Rattus norvegicus: one gene and its partners. The protein of the gene in region 3 purifies or fractionates together with the protein of the main gene of each other region. This does not show direct contact. Links are inferred from orthologs where the notes say so. Each region holds a gene or a part of one and is shown on either strand. Other genes may lie near its edges. The genes, in order: Blnk, Ankrd54 and Btk.

The links.
Region 1: the proteins of Btk (region 3) and Blnk purify together in Homo sapiens (affinity purification with western blotting; 5 studies listed by BioGRID and IntAct, with this or other methods). This does not show direct contact. The link is inferred for Rattus norvegicus from reciprocal best matches to the Homo sapiens genes BTK and BLNK.
Region 2: the proteins of Btk (region 3) and Ankrd54 purify together in Homo sapiens (affinity purification with mass spectrometry; 4 studies listed by BioGRID and IntAct, counting the BioPlex papers as one, with this or other methods). This does not show direct contact. The link is inferred for Rattus norvegicus from reciprocal best matches to the Homo sapiens genes BTK and ANKRD54.

Annotation. Positions count from the first base shown.
Region 1 is NC_086019.1:249,765,915-249,772,607, forward strand, and holds the start of Blnk (B-cell linker protein), read right to left. Parts: upstream 4,620-6,693; 5' UTR 4,513-4,619; coding exon 4,466-4,512; intron 1-4,465. UniProt on the Homo sapiens protein: Functions as a central linker protein, downstream of the B-cell receptor (BCR), bridging the SYK kinase to a multitude of signaling pathways and regulating biological outcomes of B-cell function and development.
Region 2 is NC_086025.1:112,496,000-112,502,592, forward strand, and holds the end of Ankrd54 (ankyrin repeat domain-containing protein 54), read right to left. Parts: intron 6,505-6,593; coding exon 6,406-6,504; intron 4,353-6,405; coding exon 4,281-4,352; intron 3,820-4,280; coding exon 3,772-3,819; intron 3,692-3,771; coding exon 3,567-3,691; intron 2,737-3,566; coding exon 2,629-2,736; intron 2,216-2,628; coding exon 2,141-2,215; 3' UTR 1,198-2,140; downstream 1-1,197. UniProt on the Homo sapiens protein: Plays an important role in regulating intracellular signaling events associated with erythroid terminal differentiation.
Region 3 is NC_086039.1:102,051,845-102,058,537, forward strand, and holds the start of Btk (tyrosine-protein kinase BTK), read right to left. Parts: upstream 3,300-6,693; 5' UTR 3,170-3,299; intron 3,097-3,169; exon of another isoform or gene 2,853-3,096; intron 1-2,852. UniProt on the Homo sapiens protein: Non-receptor tyrosine kinase indispensable for B lymphocyte development, differentiation and signaling. Binding of antigen to the B-cell antigen receptor (BCR) triggers signaling that ultimately leads to B-cell activation.

The DNA of each region.
Region 1 (6,693 bases), on a different chromosome or scaffold from region 3:
CAGATAAACCATTTCCCAAGACCTTGTTAAGATCAAAGACGAAGAGTCATTTTATAGGGGGAGGGGAAAATAAGGAATTGACTTATAATAGCGCCAAGTAAAACTCTTAACAGAAAAAAAAATTGCACTCTCAAAATCTACTCGTAACACCTGATGGGTGCTCATGAGGAAGACAGCCTTGGGGATACCACGATGGCTGAGGGAGGATCCCTGCAAATCCGTGTCTCGCAAACACTGCTGCAGATTTGCATAGGTGACTAAGAAGATATTAAAGGGTAGATAACGAGTGTGTGAGATCAGCCCTGCATCTCCTTAACCTGTTCTTTTCATCCTCAAGATACAACACCTTACTTCTTTGGGACCCGAGGCTGGTAACTGGCAAGTGAAACCAGACCTTTGGAGTCAGCCCCACCTTCTTCTGAATACATCAGAAGTATTTCTCAAGGCTCAAGGGACAGCACACGAGCTTAGAAAAAAAATTGTAAGGTGTGTGTCAGAAATGCTACACCCCCATGCTTACAGGGTCACAGAGCTCAGGACTACAGAGAGCTTTGGGAATTGTTAGACCAAATCACCTACTTTGTGGAGGGGTGTAGAGCAGACACCATGGGAACATGGGATGGTGAGGAAAAGAACATAGATAGAAGAGAAATAAAGGAAGGCCACAGGGTGTGGCAGGTGAGTAGGACTGAGAGCACGGAGGATGAGTCAGAATTAGGGCTGCTCATGAAACCATTGTCAGAAACAGGGAGGGCCTGAGAGGAGGGAGGTAGAGGCGGAAGCTGGAAAGAAAGCTGAATTGGTTTCTAAAGAACTTAATGTGGGAAGTCAAGGAACTGAAAACCCTAATGGAAAATTTCAGGACATGAAGAGAGAGCAATATCCCAGAGTCTATCAGAGAAAATCTGAAGGTAAGACCCTAGCCAACAAGGCCTGGACACCTGTGACAAGAGCCTTCTGTCCCGAGAAGTTTCACTGGCTACTAAGACGAGGCCTGAGAGACATGTGTGCCCTGTCTACAATCCATGCAAAGCTAAAAGCTGCAGATGCCAGACTCAATAACAAAAATGTTCTAATAGAAAGAAGAAATGAAACTAGCAGGAGACATGCCAGGGGCCAGCATAAAGTCTTCTGCTTATGTCCTGAAAGTCATTTGCAAGCTACGAAATTGATAAGAACAATCATGAAGGCTACATTAATAACTATTAATTTTTATACCCAGTAATTATGGCACCAGGGTCATAATGTCAGTTGCTTCATGGGACAATTGATTTAATTCCAACAATAGCTTTATGACATTGGTGCTATTATTATAACCTCTGTGGTCTTACAGGTGAAGAAACTGGGGCCAAGAAAATGAAGTAAACTTAAGCCTGGCTTGACCAGCCTTATGTCAAAGACATTTTCCATGTTGACAAACAAATGGGTTCGTGTTTGTGTGTGTTACAGAGGGAAGTACCCAAGTACAAATGATCCATTATCGGGGAAGCTGTTTAAAATGTAAAATTTCATTTTCAAGTTAGTAACAGTAACCCAAAGAGAACGGCTCTTCAGGATTGTAGATTCCCAAATGCTCACTCAGTAACATGGTACTTGTGCGCGCCTAGGGATGCTTGATGTTGAAGAACTGAGAACCTGGGTCTCTGATGAGTTTGTGATGATGTCACTACCTTCTAAAACTCAAAGGGAAATCATGGCTAAGTACAAAGTAATGAAAGTCTGGAAATATATGTTGACAAAGACGTGGCCCCGTACATTCCTGGCCACCTCTACTGCCTCAGTTCCAGTACATGGAACATCGGTCAGTGAGTACCTCCCGGGGTGCCTTGGGAGACTTCCATCCTCACACTGAGGATCTCCTACACACACACACACACACACACACACACACACACACACACACACAATCCTGCCTGTGTTTGCTTCCTTGGTTCACTCTGCTTCTCTTCCTGGTCATCCCTCTGCTTCCAGTCTCTCTCGAGACCTGGACATGTAGCCCCTGGGTCTGGGTCATTCCACTGAGCCCCTTTCGTGACTAGAATACTCACTGTATGGCTTTATTACAGCATTGCTGTTTGCCTGGCTTCATTTTGATCACACTCCTCTATAGGCTTTGATGGGTTTGAAAGACTCCAAACACCACATTGCAATCTGGAGCCAAGTAACTCTCTGGGCAACCTTCTAAACTGCTGTTGACCAGTCAGGAGAGGGCACACAGTCTCCCTTTTCACTTCAGTGTCTTTAACTCTAGATGCTTGGGATCCTTAAGTTCCTTGCACGCCCAGAACCTGTGCCTTCAGCTTCCCCTATGCAGTCCGTCCTGTTCATTCTGTAACAGAACAAACGCTGCCCAACCCTCCCCCGCCCCCCTGCTAACTTCTCACCAGGTCACCTATTTACAGAAAACATTTTGGGTGGTGTTTTGAGTTGTTTCGTTTACAGTCGCATTTCTTTGCAATCTGACTGCACATCTCATCAAAATGGGCTGAGTCTGGGCAGACAACTCAGTAACCAAGTGCAGGAAAACGTTGCTTTGCTCTCAGCAGATGGGCGTAGCATGTGATTATCTGCAATATAATTTTGGCCGTCTAGCCTATAATATGATTACATAATGCCCACCACCCACTCCATGATTAGACTGGACTTTGTCCCATGGGGGAGGGATCCTAAGGTGATTAAAATTCTATTGCTCTCTTTGTTTTGACTCTCATCTAGGTTCCCTGGAGCACCTTCTGAGGCTCTGGGCGGCTTTAGGTTAGGGACCGTTGGGACCTCTGCTCAGAGCAGCCCCTGCACGAGACCTTGTCAGTTCTCTGCCACATCTGACCGCTCCCTGCATGTCCCTCCTCACTGCTGTGCCCCTAACTCTAGACGCTTGGGATCCTAACATTCCCAGCACCCCCAGAACTCGTGCCTTCAGTTTAACCATGCCAGTTCTCTCTCTAACAGCACAAACACTGCCCAACTCTGTATGGTTAGACACCACCCACCTCATTCTTTTCAGCTGGCCCCACCAGACAGGACCAATGTCCCAGGGCCCTCTCACCCTATACGTTCCACTCCATGGCCTCTGCTGGGCAGAACTTTCCTCGCTAGCGCACATTTGAGACTGCGCTTACATCAGATTGTGCATGTGAGCTTGCAGCCTCCTCAGCGTGTAACCTGTCCCCCCAGTTCTCCGTCTGCTTTTTCTCAGCTGCCTCTCAAAAGCTTAACTCTTAAAGCATCGTCTTCATGAAAACTTCTCTGCAACTTATTATTTCCACTGTTTCCTCTCCACCCCTCCCCTCCATGAGATGCCCAGCAAAAGACGTAGGGTGCCTGTGGGACCTTCTGACTTCCATGTTAAGGACTCTGTGGCTCTCCTGGGCATGCTCTATAAAATGGCTGACCAGCCGATGCTGCCCTCTGATCTGGACCCCTTAGTACATCTCAGTCTGCCTCTTACCAAACCCCTTAGAGTGAGAAGACCCACATGCTGCTGTGGAAGACTGTCCTTCTACCAACTCTATATTCTTTTCTTGTCATTTGTCTCAGAATCTCCAGTTCTCCAGCTCCTAAGTATGACCTCATGAAAGTCCAAAGTTCCAGTCTGCACACGGAATATAACACGTCCTTAAACATTTTGAGTTCTGGCCTCAGAAAGTCATCATCAGCACCACTCCAAAAGACAAAGTTCTCCAAACTCAAAAATTGGGAAGTCGTCTTTGCATGGTCTCTTGACTTGTGACTTAGGCCACTGCTGGCTTATTCTTGTTAGCATATATGTATATTTTAATTGCCAACGCTGCCTTTAAAATGATTGTTGTTATCATTAGTATATGTGCATGTGTGAAATGTGTGTGGGCATGACCAGTCAGGGAATGCGCGTGCCAGGCAGTGAGTATGGAGTCAAAGGCCAGCCTTGTGGAGTTGCTTCTCTCTTTCCATTTTTATCTGGGCTGTGGGCATAGACCTTAAGTCACCAGGCCCGCATGATCAGCACTTTGTCCAATGAGCTAGTGGACTGGCCCTTAAGCACTTTTTAAAATAGATAGTCATGAGGGTTTTAGAAAGGCCTGTGGTTCCCCCAGTAAACTTAGGATGAACATCCACAAAACAAACAAGAGACAGTGACTGACAGTGACCACACATGCTCTTCACGCAGTGCACAAGCCCTTCCCCCAGCAGCATCTTATTCAGACCCAGAAAGCTGACTGTGGGTAGCATGTGTGCCATCAAATTTTCTATCTTCTTGCCTTTCCAGAGCTTCACCCTTTGTCCTATCGCTGGCAAAAACCCAGCCAAAGCAGGTCCCTTCACTCTTCCTACACATTTCTTTAAAAACCTGACCTACTTCCCTATCGCCACTGCCAACCAATTCCTCGGAACTGGTCAAGTATTCCATGGTTTTGGTACCTCTGAGCCCTTGGAGGAGCACTAAAGGGGAGAGAAGAGGAATACAGATCCAAAGGGAAACTCTTACCTCAGCTTCTGACTGGCAGGGACAGTTATTTTATTCAGTTTGTCCATTTTTCTTGAGAGGGGCTGTGGAGTCGCTGTCCAGAGGGATGTCAGCAGCTCCTGGGCTTCCTGGGGAGCAGCATGGTAAGACTCTGGCCTCAAGGGCTCATGCCACTGGAACTGACTTCTGAGAGCAACCGCAGGCTGCTGGCAAACACCCCTACACAGGGGAAGTAAAACTCGCTGGAGCACATCGCCAAGTTTCGTGTTTCTACGAGGTCATGTGATCCAGCGAGTCAGCCAGCCTGGATGATTACTGTGCGTTGTGTAAACTTCAGTAGTGAAACCTTATTGGGCATGCAAATCCCTTTTCAGCAGCTCTCTTTTATGATCAGGTTTGTTGCCAGGTTGGAATAAGCTTCTGGTTGACTGAGCACGACTTCCTGTTTGTCCCAAACCTTAGGTAGTCCCTGTTTTCAGCAGATGGCCAGAGTCATCCTGCCACTTCTCAGGTACCAGGAAAAGCTGAATAATCGATGATATCTGGATGACTGTTGGGGGCTTTCTGCTCATTTGCATAAAGCCGTGAAGAAGCCTTTTCTTCTTAGATAACAGAGACACGAATTGGACAGCTCTTGGAGCCAAGGTCACAGCAGTGGTCATTTAAACTGTGATGGGTAATTCTTTGTGCGAGGTCAAGGTCACTCAGGGGTAGAGATAGGTGACTCCATCCTACGCTATGTGGAGTCAGGAGTTGCCTCGTCAAAAGCTTGACATTCTTAAATAAAGCCAAGATATACTCAGAAGTCAGCTGAGAGCAAACCCAGCAATTTCCAAGCACATGACATCAGGAAGATACCTCCTAACTCCCCTCGGCGTCTGTGGCCTCTCATCAGACCGAACATCATGCATCCCACACCTGCCGCTGACCCCATCCAGACAGCTCTGCTGCCCTCCTCAAGAACCCCCAATTCCTCTGTCTACTCTGCAAGCTTCTGATTTAGCTGAGTTAAAGAGCAGAAAGCAGTCTAGGGCTAAGAATTTTTTTAAAAAATGAGAGCGGGGTGTTCTTTCTCCCCTTTTTACCCGAACACCCCCACCCCAACTCCTGTCACCTGGCATGTCCTGGTCACCTTTGTGAAAGGAGATTATGTTCCAAACTTTATCAAAGGACCATTGACCTGGGTCTAAAGAATGCATGGGAGTTGGGGGAACAAAGTAGAGGGACTTTGGTTATCTCTCATGTTATAGCTACAAGGCCTGGCTGAAGAGAAAGTGGGAAGGCGGACCAGGCAGAGAAGGGAGGACAGGAGATGGAGAGCAAAAGTGGATTTCTTCTCCCCTGGGTTCTTTGTTCAAACAGAAGTCCTTCTATCTTTCCGAATCCTTGACTGTTCTCATTCCTGCTCTATATCTGAATTTCCCATTCTTCAGGACGTCCGAGAGCTGAAGCTTTAGAGCGGGTGAAGAGTGAGGTCCTTCTGCAGGAGAGTAGGTCATCATGAGAAAAATGCAAACGCTTGCTTCCTGTAGCTAGCTGTTGGCTTTCTCTAGTCAGGCAGTTCAGTTTTCTTGCAATATATCCTGAAGGAGATCAGTTCCCTGCCCTGCCCCTCCCACGGTTCTTAACCGAAAGGAATACGAGGAAAAACATGTTTGATGTCATCAAGGGTCAGGAAAGTCCGGCCAATGGGTTGATAATAGCCTTTTGTTCCCTCTGAATTATTGTAAAGTGCTCCCAATTGACCCACTGACTTTCCTCTCCACCAACTCTGCTTAGCACCTGGTCTGGCAACTTCTTTTTTTCCCCAGAGAAAGAGAGAGGGGTGAGGGTTACACTTCTGCTTTTTCTTTTTACAGCCATTTGTCTTTCTTCTTTTTACTGTATTCAGACTGACACGATGAAAATGAGAAACTGCTTTTCCAGGCCGGTGTGTGTAGTTCTGCCCTCTGTGTGGAGGGTCACAGCCCAGCAATCCAAGCCTGACCCAGTGACTTTCCAGCCACCATGGCTTGTCAGGAAGGACTGAGCATGAATGGGAGCCAAATCTCAGCTACAGACTTATTAATGGAGTGAGACTACACTGGGTGACCCCGAAGCCTAGGCCTTGAAGAGCGGCCAGGCCCAGTCTGTGACAGCAGGTACAGAGATGACTGAATTGACAAATTAACAGGACAGATGCCCAGTCACAGCCTTTTACCAACTGGGATTCTTATACACCACTGAGAGAGCCACAAAGCACAATCACA
Region 2 (6,593 bases), on a different chromosome or scaffold from region 3:
GCCTGACCAGTGTTGATGATTAACCTAGAAGCCAACTTCCTTTGGCAAGCCCTCCCTTCACTGTCTGCATAGCCACTGGGGGAGTTAGCAACAGATGCAGTGTGGGACCGAACCTGTGGTAACAGGGATTCAGGACCTCCTTGTTCCTGGAGGCCCAGGCTTCAGGAATTGATTGGTCCCTGTTTCCTGGAGATTCTGGGTTACATAGCTCTTCATATGCAAAGCAGAAGCCCAGTCAGGGGCAAGGAGTCCTTGGTGTGCCCGGCAGCCCAGAGGACCCTGGCAGCCCTTTATGCCTCTGCTGCCAGGGCACCAGAGCCGGATTTCCCAATTTCTCTTAGTGTGGATTTTTCCCCAGCATAGCAGTGCACGCGCCACACAAACCTTCCTCTGTTCTGGGGTTCCTGTCCCTTCCCTAACAGCCAGAGGGCTGGTAACTAGGCCTCAAGTCCTTCCAGGAGGTCTAGGGTGAGGAGCCCAGAGATGCAATGCCTGAGGAACTGGTTCCTTCAGTCCTGCCTCTGCTCGCTCTTGGTCTCCAGCCTGCCCAGGTCTCCAGCTCCTGCCCCAGTGGAGCCCTAAGAATAGAGAAAGATCAAGTGAGCCCCTAGGCCCCAAGAAGTCAGGGTCACCTGCAGAGTTGGTCACTCAGGCAGAGGAGAAAGTCTGCATCATACACCCAGCCCCTCCCTCTTGTCACTCAGCAGGGACAGCAGCTGCCCCTCCCCATCTTGAGGCCACTGAAGCACTTTGCCCTCCCAACCCTACCGACATAGATTTTGGGTTTTCTCTCACAAGGAGCTGGGGGTAGAAATTCTATCCAGTTCTTCCTCAGGGTCTGGGGAGTGGCTGAGTTTCAGCTCAATACCAAGCTGGGATTTGAAGAAAGGCCCTCCTTGGCTAGTAGCCAGGGCTTCCAGCTTGGAGAGAAAGTGGGGCAGTGCCAGGCTGGACATGGGCTGGGAGCCTAGAAGCCATTGGCCAAATCCCTGTCTGGAAGGAGGACCTCCTAGGTGAGGATGTGTCCCCCCCGTCCCCCCCTCCCCCCAGCCCAGGAATGTCTCCTTCATAGGCCAGACAGGTTCAATAGACTTGAGACCTCTGCAATGAATCTGGCCCCACTACTTCCTCAGTTCCTAGTGCCACAAGAAGCCACCACAAACCAAAACCAAAAATGAACCAAAAAACAACCACCAGTTCAACCAACAGACTTCTTTTCACAATTCTGGAGGCCAGAAACAAAAACATGTCCAGCTGAGCTCTGTCTGGTGCAGTTGTCAGCAGAGCCAGTCCCTGCTGGAGGCTCCGAGGGACCCACTGGCTGTCCTTAGCCAGCTCCTGGCTTCTTCCTCCATGACTCACGTCCACATGGCATAGGTCACCTCCGGCCTCCTCCCCAGGGCTACCTGGGGTGATATCCAGTCCACCTAGGTGATCCAGAATCTTCTCCCCACTAAAGACCTCTAGTTATATATCTGTATAGCCTCTTATCAAAACACCCAAGGCCTAGAGGATCCTGGGATAAGGACCTGGGCCCATGACCCACTATCAACCACTGATAAGTAGGCTGTGAAATGGACTCCCATGTGTAGTGTTCCAGTGACTGGGAGAGAAGGTGTTACAGATCTTTCTTTGGGCTAAAAAGGGTCCTTCCTAATCTTATGAAGGCCTAAGCTTGAGCAATGTCCCTCTTCTGCTCAGAGACACCCCACAGTGCAGTGTTTCCTTGAAAGTCAGGAGCAGGGCTAAACTGAAGTGCTGGTGTAAGGAGCAGGGCGAGCTTAGAGAACAGAGCAGCCCTGGTGGCCTCAGAGCGGCCTACCCAAAGCCAGGTGGAGGTAATGGAAATCCACGGCTGGGAAGAGAGAGGGCTCTGAGGTGGGCTGAGGGACAGGGAGGCCACAGGAGGAGTGGTGTCTGCTAGGACAGCACGTGTGGGCCTGGAGTGTGGCTACAGAGCTGGTATTATGCAGCAGGAGCAGGGGCTGTGGTCCTGACCCAGGGAGATGTTGCACATTGTCAGTTCTGTCCTCAGCATCTCAGGGCAAGGGCAAAGTGGAACTCCAGATCCCTTGGGCTTTCCCTGTAGCATGTGCAGAGGGCAGGAGTGCGGCGGTAAAGCAAGAAGCAGCCTTCCTTGCTACCTCTTCTCCATACTCTGCATCTGCAGACTGAGGGAGGTGAAGCTGGCCAAGAGGTCCGTCACTTCATCCACCTGCAGGGAGACAGTCAGGTTGAACCAGGGGTATCACAATGGGCACTGAACATGGGCACTGCCACTCTTCAGGGCATGCAAATGCTTCCCCTCCATGGTATTTCAATGAGCAGGATGGGGGTTTGAGACCTTTGTGTTGTGCTCAGCAGAGTCCCTGACCAGTGAAGGGCCCTGTCACCCTTTCTCTCTGACTATGGGTTCATCCTAGACATCACGTGGTCTGGTACTGCCCCCAAGAGCAGACCTGAGCACACACCAGCCACTTCAGCTTCAAGGACATAGACAGAGGCTGTGAGGGGCTATGGTAGTAGCAATACCCTAGGTCCCATCTTTTTTTGATACATGGGTCTGGCTGCATTGGAGCAGAGCTGGACTGGCTGAGGCTATTGCTTGGTCCTGTGGCTGAAGCTCACCTGTTCTTTGGTACTTGTCATCTGGAGGCGGGTACAGAGGTCATCTAGCCGTTCACGCTGTTCATGTCGCCCCAAGCGCTCCAGGTACTCCCGTAGCATGTGGATGATCTGGAAGGAGATAGGAAGTCACAGGCTAGGAGGCAGGCACAGGCAAGTTGCTACTATTAACATAAGCACTGGGAGTTGGTTCTAACGCTTTGTCTATTTCATCTCCTGACAGCCAAGCTTCCACTGAGGGTCCCTGCCCCAGCTGGCTTAGATTGATAGTAAAGATTTGCCATGCAGCCAATGGCTGGGCAGGGAGACAGGGAGGGACTTTTAGACTGCTGCATGGCCAAGGGATCCAGAGAGAGGGAAGGAGGAGGAGAATCACCATGACCTGGAGGGAGAAGGATTAGATCTAAGAGCTACAGTAGAAAATTCATCCAGCAATGTAGGTGGAAAGGGAAAATGCCCCTATAGGGGGGGCTGGCCAGAAGGTAATGGGGCAGCAAAGATAAAACAGATTTAGAAAGTGTTGGTGGGGGGCTGGGGATTTAGCTCAGTGGTAGAGCGTTTACCTAGGAGGCGCAAGGCCCTGGGTTCGGTCCCCAGCTCCAAAAAAAAGAACCCCCCCCCCCAAAAAAAGAAAGTGTTTGTGGGGAAGATTAGAAATGCCCACCCATTGAGCTAGTCAAGGCATATCCAAATTAGCTGGTGTGTGCGTGTGTGTGTGTGTGTGTGTGTGTGTGTGTGTGTGTGTGTCTGTATTTGCAAATGCAGAGAGTTCTTGGGTGGGTGTATCATGAGACTGATCCCCCCTGGGAGTCAAAGTGGTTTAACTAACTCACTACTATACATAACAGAGAAGGGATGTTGGGGTTGGTAAGATCAGGAGCCCTAGGCCAGAGGCAGGCAGTCTGGTAAGCATGGTACCCATCCGAGGAGGACTCACTCACCTGCTTCACCTCTAGGCGGACGGCTTCCAGGCACTGAGAATGACCCTCCTGCAGGATGTTCAGTTTCGACTTGGCCAGGTGTAGGGGCGTGCGGCCAGCTCTGTCTAGGGCATCTACACGGGCCCCTGTGGGGATAGGCAGAGGAAGCATGCTGGGGAGGAGATGGAGAAAAGGGCAGGAGACTGGGAAGGGGTCCCCCACATACCTCCTCGAAGCAGTGTGGTGATGACAGGAACATGGTTGGTGCAGGCCGCTGTGAAAGAAAAGTGATGTAAGAACCAGGACTGTGGGGATCAAGGGAAGAAAAGCTGAGTCCTGAGTGTGGCTGTGCTGTGTTACCTCCTGAGACAGTGTCGCCAGGGCAGTATGCCCTATTGAGTAGGGCTTAGATCAAGTCCAGTTTACCCTGTTTAGCTGGGGAAACTGAGGCATGGAGCTGAGACTCACTGTAATTGTTGGGGTGAATCAACAGCAAGGCTGGGGCAGCCAAAGGGCTCACAACCCACTTCCTAGCAGAGCTGTGTGCAGCCAGTCCAGGGTGCACAGCAGTCCTGCCAGGTGCACAGTCTCCTGGGAATGGATGGTCCGTGGGACAGAGGCTGTGGGAAGTGCATACTTGTGGTGCAGGCCCTGCCAGAATGCTAGGGGATCCTGCTGGGAGCCTCCTGAAACCTAAGCTTTACATGCTAGAAGTCTAGCTTGTGGTGGACTTACCCAGGTGCAATGGGGTGTTGCCCAGACCATCCTGTTGGTTGGGGTCGGCCCCATGGTCCAGGAGAAGCTGCACTGAAGACAGAAAACACCACAATATACTGTTAGAGGTTTCCTCCAACTAATCCTCACCCAGAGCCAGCAGAGGTCTGTTTGGAGTGTGGAGAAAAGTAGAAACCGTCTGGTCTCTCCCTGTCCTGCCACTAGTGTCACCTAGCCATATAGGCCTTGGATGACCCCACTCCTCAGGGATAGACCTCATCTTATCACTTCCAACGACAGGGCCACCTATAACAAATACCAGGCTGAAGACCGTCATGTCCTTTTATTTGGGGCTCAGAGCAGTCACTTTGCCAACCTGTATCTGTAGGAACACACTTGTAGATGTCCCTAAGTTTGCAGATGAGATCAGGGTGTTCAGTAGTAACTGGGACATCAGAGGTCAGAGGTTAGGAGTCAGAGGTTGGTCTCATTGCTGACTATGCCTTTCTGTCTTCAAAGAAACCAGCAATCTCTACTTCAGTGGAATGCAGAATCCAGACATGGCTCCCCATGTTGTGGCGTGCATTAAATAACTTACTTGATCTACAGGGTGCAGGACCCAAGGGTCAGGAACCAAGGACTCTAGGAGGGTCTCTTGGCCTCTCAGTCCTATCTGACTGAGGAGAGGTCTCCTAAATGTATTTCCTATTCCCCTGCAGTGTCTAGGCGACAATAGACGATGCTGCACTCTGGGAACTATCTTCCTTCTTTAGCAGCCTTAGGCTGCCTCATGGTGACAGAGCTTGCCAGTCACCAGCTAGAATCACCCTGGTTAACAACCAACATTGTACAGGGAGGCCAGGCTAAGTTTCACAAAAGAACACAAGCTAATTCCAGAGGGACTGATCATAGATTAATTGTAACAGTCACCTTTCTAGAAGGAAATAGGAGGCTATCTTTGTGGGGTAGGCAAAGATTTGTAAAGAGTCATACACAGAAAAAACCCACTAACCATAGGAAAGGGGCAGCACGGAGACATATCTGGGCCTGGTGGCTCAGGTTTGTGATTCTAGCTCTTCAGGGGTCTGAGGCTAGAAGGTTTCAAGTTCAAGGCCTACCAGGGTTGTAGCATGAACTCAAGGCCAGTTTGGGCAACTTACTTAGATTCTTTCTTAAAATAAAAAGGAAAGCTGGGTGGTGGTGGCACACAGCTTTAATACCAGCACTCAGTAGGTAGAGGCAGGCAGATCCCTGATTTCAAGGCCAGCCTGGTCTACAGAGTGAGTTTCAGGACAGCCAGGTACACAGAGAAACCCGGTCTTGAAAAACCAAACCAAACCAAACCAAAAGAGGGCTAGTGTGGTATATTTGCTTGGCCCATGGAGTGGCACTGTTAGGAGGTGTGGCCTTGTTGGAGAAAGTGTGTCATCTAGGGGATGGGCTTTGAGACCCTCCTCCTAGTTGCCTATAAGTCAGTCTTCTAGCTGCTTTCAGAACAGGATGCAGAACTCTCAGCTCTGCCTGCCCCATGCCTGCCTGGACACTGCCAGGTTTCCTGTCATGATGATAATGGACTGAATCTCTAAGCCAGCCCCAAGTTTTATGTCCTTTGTAAGAGTTGCCTTGGTCATGGTGTCTCTTCACAGCAGTGCAAACCCTAAGAGGGCCAGGGATGTAGCTTAGTGGCAGAGCACTTGCTAACATGACTGAAGCCCCTGGGTTCAATCTCCAGAACCACAAAAAGAAAGAAAAAATGGATGGCCCAGGTTTGTGGACTCCTAGCATTCTGGAGGCAGAGGCAGGGGGATTAGTTATTCTAAGCAATACAGGAAGTCTGATAGCCTGGACTACATGAGACCCCATTTCAAACATACAAATACAAACACACACACACACACACACACACACACACACACACACACACACACACACTGTGTTCATTCAGCAAGGCCCTCTGTTTATTAAATGACTACTTGCCAAGCCTGCCACGGTGGGACACATCTGTAATCCTAGCACTGAGGATTCCCTTCACAAGCCCTCCTTATTCCAAACCCCGGGTGCCCTGAGGCATGCAGACAGCAATTCCTTCCCCACTGCTTAGAAACTGTTGCTGCCTTTGACCAGCTCCTGTTGCTCCAGAACTCACCAATCTGGTCATTGCCATTGCAGGAAGCAAAATGGAGGGCTGTTCGGCCTTTGTCATCAGCTGCGCAGGGATCCGCACCATCTTCCAGAAGCTGCTGCACTGACAACCACGATGGGGGAGGGAGGAGAAGGGTGACAGAGCAGGCGTGTTAGCTATGCTGCAGTCCCAAGGGATGGACGATACTCGAG
Region 3 (6,693 bases):
TTCCCAGCATCCATATCAAGCCACTTACAGCATCCTGTAACTCTGACACTCTCTGAAGGCGTCGGCACATACTTGTGCATGTGTACACACCATACAGACACACCACACACACACACACACACACACACAAACACACACACACACAAATACCCACACACATACCCAAATACAGACACACACACACACCATACAGGTACTGATATATACACACAGATACATATACACATCTACACCATGAAAAAAACCACACACACACACACACACACACACACACACACACCATGTACACAGAAACAGACACACATATCATAAACACACATATACACACCACAATATATATGCATATATATACAGAAATGTGAAAAATTGTGTGTGCATTTTGCATTTCTCTACATATTGCCAAACTGCCTCCAGAGATAGTGTACCAAGTTCTGCTCCTAATAGCAGGCTTTGAGAGACTGAGTTCTTTTCCTCTACATCTTTACTTCATTTTCATGTCACTTTCAGTGATTAAAAAAAAAAACTCTGGCTTTATTCTACACTAACTTTTTCACTAAACGAGTTTATTTTAATCCTCCATTTGTCTAAAACTCAATTGCTCATAACTCTCTAAATTTCTTTTTTGGAGTCAGGCTTTATTTTCACTTTGGTGAGGGTCAGCAGTGAGAAAAGCTAGGGTTCAAATAACCTGAAATTTTTGCATTTTGAGGCGTCTTTGAAGAGGGCATTCAGAGAGTGGGCAGTGGGGAGGAATGCCTGTGGTTAGACACCCCAGGTTTATACAGTTCTAAGATGATGCTCAATTACTGTACATAAACCTCCATAACAAACTGAAAGTTACACGTGGCCCAATTGTTTCAGGCGCCTCAGAGGTGTGTCCCCTCCCCCTCCCCTGATGACTTCATGCATAACCAAGCAGGTTTGGAGTAAAAAAAAAGTCAGTCTCCTCCATAACAACAACTACTTCCTCCTCCTCCTCCTCCTCCTCCTCCTCCTCCTCCTCCTCCTCCTCCTCCTCCTCCTCCTCTTCCTCCTCTTCCTCCTCCTCCTCCCCCCCCTCCCACTCCTCCTCTGTGGTTCATGTTGGTCTGGAACTCCAGGCAAACCTCCTGCCTCAGCCTCGTTAGTGCTGCGATTACAAGTGTGTGCCACCACCTCCAGCTCTTCTTGTGTTCTGTTGTGCCCTGAATTCTAGCCGTCCCTTCTCTTCAGAGGTTAGCAATTAGATCTGAGCACTGCTCAGGGAAAAGTAGAGAAACCGATACATATGACTGTTTGGAGAACGCCCAAACTTTGGGTTTCAGAAGAGATGTCTTCCCCCTTATATCGAAGTGACTTCCTGCTATGGCTCCAGATCACTGACAAGATACTTTATAGGAAATTTGCTCAGATGGAAAGAACAAATCATAGTGCCTGTTTAAACTGCACCAAGACCCTACAAGTAGACAGAAAGTTACACTATTTCTCCCCCATAGGCATTTGCAAAGATTCTAAACAAAACATCAACAGCAATTAGCAACAGGAATCTTTTTTTTTTTTTTTTGCACAAGCGAATAGATTAAACGGCCTAAATAAAATAGAGGTCAGGTGGATGCAGCAACGTCCTCATGTAATCCCAGCATGCAGGTGAGTAAGCCAGAAGGACCACAAGTTTGAGACGAGTCTGGGCTACATAGCCTTGACTAGGTAGGCAAGACCTTTCTTCCACATAAAAAGATAAATACATAGTCTACAATGGATAAGGCAAGGCTTAAGGGATACCGTGTATCTGTAATACTTTAGGTCTCCATGAGAATTTGCATTTTGTGGCTCATTTCAAATAATTGAGAAAGGCAATAGTGCCCTTGCTTCAGAAGTGTAACAAAATGAGGGAAAGAACAGAGCTAAGGCATTTACCTAACAGAGAGGATGGGTGGATAGGCCTTGAGCTGCATACACCCACCCCAACCTCAGCCTCTGGACAGCTGCTGCTCCGTCCCTGGAAATACTTGGCATGGGTCAAACCTTCCAATCTTGAGAGCTCGGTACTGAGGAGGATATGATTCCATTTGGATGTCTGGAGGCTCGTTTCAGAATGTCACCATCAGCTTGATCTAAGCAGAGTCAAACATTTCTCTCTATTTGCCCCTAGGCCAACCCTACTGGGGACTGGCAGGACTGTGGTAGAACCAAACTAGTAACGACTGCTGAGATCCAGCACTTACTCTTGCCAGGGGCCTTAACTACTTTACATTTATTTACACTTAAACTGCTAGCAGTAATGGTCCAGAACAAAGGAACAGGTAGATGGGGAGCGGGTAGGAGAAAAAAAAAAACAAAGGACCCCGAGGAGAAAGGGGCAGGACAAATTTGATGCTATTTAAAAAGGCTGTTAAGTGCTGATTCTGGATCAGGGGATACTAGCCAGGAAAGGAAGAGGAAGGAGAGAGAGCAGAAAGGAGACGAGAGGAAAGATAATGAAGCCAAGAGAAAAGACAGCATGCACATGGTAGGTAACTGTAAGAGGAAAAACCTTTCCGGAGACCTCAGGGGTTGGCCACACTGTCTTGGCTGAGGCAGAGGCTGCATTCCGCTGGCTCTGTTTCCTACCCACTATTAACCACGAGGCTGCCACAGCCTCCACACAATCCTTCCTATGAGCCAGCCCTTATCCTAGTACTATTTGGCCTGTTGCAGGGCAAAACAAGTTGCTTCCACCCTATGTAGCACAGACCTTTCCTCAGCACTGCCGTTTGAGACACATGAGCTATTTTAGGTTTTGCAGACCAAGCAGCCTCCTGGAATTCCTTCTTCGAAGGTTCTCATTGATACAAGGATCCATTTTGTGTTTGGTAAAAACGACTTGCTTTTACCTGGCTGCTGCCTGTGGAGTCTCTTACCCACCGAGAGCTGCAGAGCTCCCCTCCAACATTTGCTGTCGTTTCAGATGGACACCTCAGGTTTCCTGTTCCTATAACCACCCCATCACAGTCGCTGTCTTCAAAAGACCCTTATATTCCCTGCAGTGTTGGAAGGGAATACCAGGCCTTCTGCTGTGACACTCCCACTCTCCATGAGCTTCCTCCACCAGTAGATAGATGGAAGCAGCCATGCTTCCTGTCCGACCTTCGAGGGTTCCAACAGAAGGAAATATGGCTGCTGCCCAAGCCCTGCCTCACCCCAGACCCACCTCAGTTCTCACTTAATGCAGGTAGCTTCCCAGACGTAGTGAGATGCCAGGACTTGGAAGGTGGGACTTGATCTCTGAAGACACTGGCCCTGGAGACATATTCTTACAGTCCAGAGAGGAAGGACAGTCTGAGCAAACCCCACCCTTTCACAGCCACTCAGTTCCCTTTTTTTGTTTCCTGACTTAAACCAATGCCTTTTTTTTTCTTCTTAGCAATATGGTATCTGCTTCCGAGCTGCCGTCCCTATTCCGCTCCCCTCCAACCCTCCCCTCCCCGCATTACACCCATAGAGCCCAGCTCTGAGAGACACTTTCTTCCCATTACTGGAGTGGTTGAGTCCCCTAAGATGATGGGGCTAGGCTGAGCAAACAGGTCATCAGACTATCCTTCCTGGAGCAAAGGGATGACATACCTAAAGGACTGTGGGGGATGATCAGTACAGGAAGAAGAGAGGTGCCAGTGTCTTTAAGGTCTCCTGTCGCCTCAGTAGGGGAGAGTCAGGACCACACAATTCAACTTGTAGGACAAAGAAGTCTCACTCAGAGACCCTGAAATACAAAGCCCGACAGAGGTAGAGACAAGACTTCCCTGCTGAGTCATTTTCTAAGAAAGCAATTTTCTTCTGCACATAAAGATGCCTGAATATAAGCCCTTCCCCATTTCTTCAAATGTTCTTTTGAATATTCTACCTTCAAATTGCAGCCTTATGAGCCATGATGAAACGCACATATAATTAAAGCTACTGGGGTGATGGAGGGGCAGGACTATCACCAGTTCAAAGCCTGCACAACATAGGAGATTCTGTTTCATTTTTTTCCTCCAAGATAAACAAGGTACAATATTGTCTTTGATTCCATCAACTAGTAAACAAGACTAGATGTGATCTTTGAAGTCCGAATGTTCCCTCCGCGGGTCCTGAGTTTGTGTCCCAGCTTCCCTCTTCTCCCTGAGAATTCTCTAAAGAAATGTAGCCGATATTTGCCAGTGATGGTGGTAGAGGCCCTGGTGACTGATCTTGTCTGTCTTCTCTCACCGGCCATTTTCATATTACACCCTAATACAGGAACATATTACTGATCCCAAAAGTGGGTCAGAACTGAAAGCGCTGGGATTTTTTCTAAGCATTTGTAGAATGGCAGATCAGTAAATCATTTCACTGGTACAGATCAATGGGCACCAAGTTCATGTGGCTCTCCCTTTATGGTCCAAGCTTTATTGACAAGTTATGACCTTTCCTTAGTCACATGCAGTAACTGTGCCAGCCATCAATGGAGTGACCATAGACACTCACCATACCTTCCTTTGTCCTCAGTTAGATGCTTCTTGTCACATGCTCCATCATTTCTAAAGGTCCATTTGGGGTGGGAATTGGGAGTTAAATAACAGCATTGTGGGAAATTAGGGAGGCAAAGGCAGAAGGCAGAATAAAGGTAGGAACCTTTGACCACAGCCACTTACCCAGCACTCTCACTCATACCATAGTGCGAACAAATAAGCTAGTGTAAGTTCAAATTGTTCCCCATGGAGATGGGTCAGCAGGTAAAGCACTTGCTGCCAAGCCTGATGACTTATGTCCAATTCCCATGGAAGGAGAGAAGTGGTTTTCATTAGCGGTTCTCCTGACCTCCACACTCATGCTGTAGGTTCTGATCTTGGTGCCAGCTGTAGTAAACAGCTGTGTGGAAGATAGAGAAAGTAGCCCAGCCAGTTGTAGTGGTTCACTCCAGTAGGACATGCTGTAGAGGGCAGAGGCAGAAGGCTCATGAGTTCAAGGCTAGCCTGGGGAAAAAGTAGCCCAATTAATGTATTGTATAAATAGTGAAAGGTTGTGTACTTGATGAATCAGGGTAATTAATATTCAAAAAGACCTGCATCATTTGGTGTAAGAGTTCAAACTCAACAATGTATTTTACAAGGTGAAGAGTGATGTCTCACAACTAGATTCCAACTTTGAAATTCAAATATCTCCAGGTAGGATGTAGGGTGGGTGGCTGTGATGCCTGTTAAGTGGTACTTGGGGGCTGGAGAGCATTGGCTCAGTGCTTAAGAGCATTGGCTGCTCTCCCAGGGGTCCTGTGAGTTCAATTCCCAGCACCCTCATGGTGACTCACAACCATCTGTAATAGGATCTGATGCCCTCCTGTGGTGTGTTTGAAGACGGTTACAGTGTACTCATATTAAAAAAAATAAATACATCTTTAAAAAAAGAAAATGGTACCTGGGCTTTGCTGATAGCAACTAAAAGAAATGGCAAGTTTGAAACAAAAATGGCTGAGAGAAAAGTTAAGGTGACATTGAGCCTTTTTTCTAGAAGTAAAATATGTAGGAAAGTGAGTATCTTCTGGGCTTGAAGCACTGAGAACTTAAGACCCTAACTAGAGTTCTGTCTCCAGCTCTAGGTGCTTCATCTTAGGGGAAAGTAACGAGCACAGACATAGCGAAAACAGAAAAATAGTGCTAAACAAATCGTGAACTACAAGATGAGTAGCTTCTGGAGATTTAATGTGCAACGTGGAGACTGTATTATACTCGATTGCTTACTTGAAGTTGGATAAGAGAACAGATTTAAGTGTCTCCACCACACACACACACACACACACACACACACACACACACACACACATACACGTAACTATTGATGATAATGAATGGGTTAATTTGACTGTGGCAGTTATTATACAAGATGAGTGTATATTTAAACACACGCAATTTTGTCAATTAAATATTTTAAAATACCCCCACAACTACTCCACACGGGGATTGATAAAAAGAATCAAGTTTGATTAGACAAAGAGGTTTAATTGTCCATCTCCAAACCACTTACATGGAAAACAGAAAACAAATAAAAACTTTAGAAAGTCCCTAAAGGCCAGTGAAAACTTGTTAAGGGACTAGAGAGAGGAAAATCCTGGTGGAAATCAGCCGGTGGGTTATCAAAGAAATGTAGCAGGCAACGACATTATTATTATTGTAACCCCAGACGATCATCCAACAAAAATGGGCGTGAACGAAGTGCCAGCTTGTTTCTGGAGCACTGTGCAAGCAGGATACCTCAGGGTCTCCTACCATTAGCTCCTCCCTAGGCCACTGCTGCCTCCTTCTTCATTCCAGCCCATTAGTCTACCTGTAGCTGCCTCTCTTTCCCTGTGTAATATTGACTAAGGCTAGAGGTATATCGTATTAAATGGCTTAAGATCGAATTCCAGCTTTGAAATAACCGTGTGTGTGACTTTTGGGGAAGTGCATTTAAGCCTCCTGTGCCTCAGTCTCATTTGGTAAATACTATTAATAGTGAGCAGCTCCAGAGATAGACAGGATTCAAAGAGGCAGGCACAAACCAGGCACAGCTGCATATACCTGGGCCCCCATCACTCGGGTTAAGGATCAGAAATTCACAGCCATCTTCAGCTACATAGGTGAGTTTAAGGCCAGCCTGGGGTTAGTGGGGCCCTCTCTGTCGTAAAGATAGCTGCTATAATACACAGACTATGATAGTAATGTTATGGGATAGTAAAAAGAAACT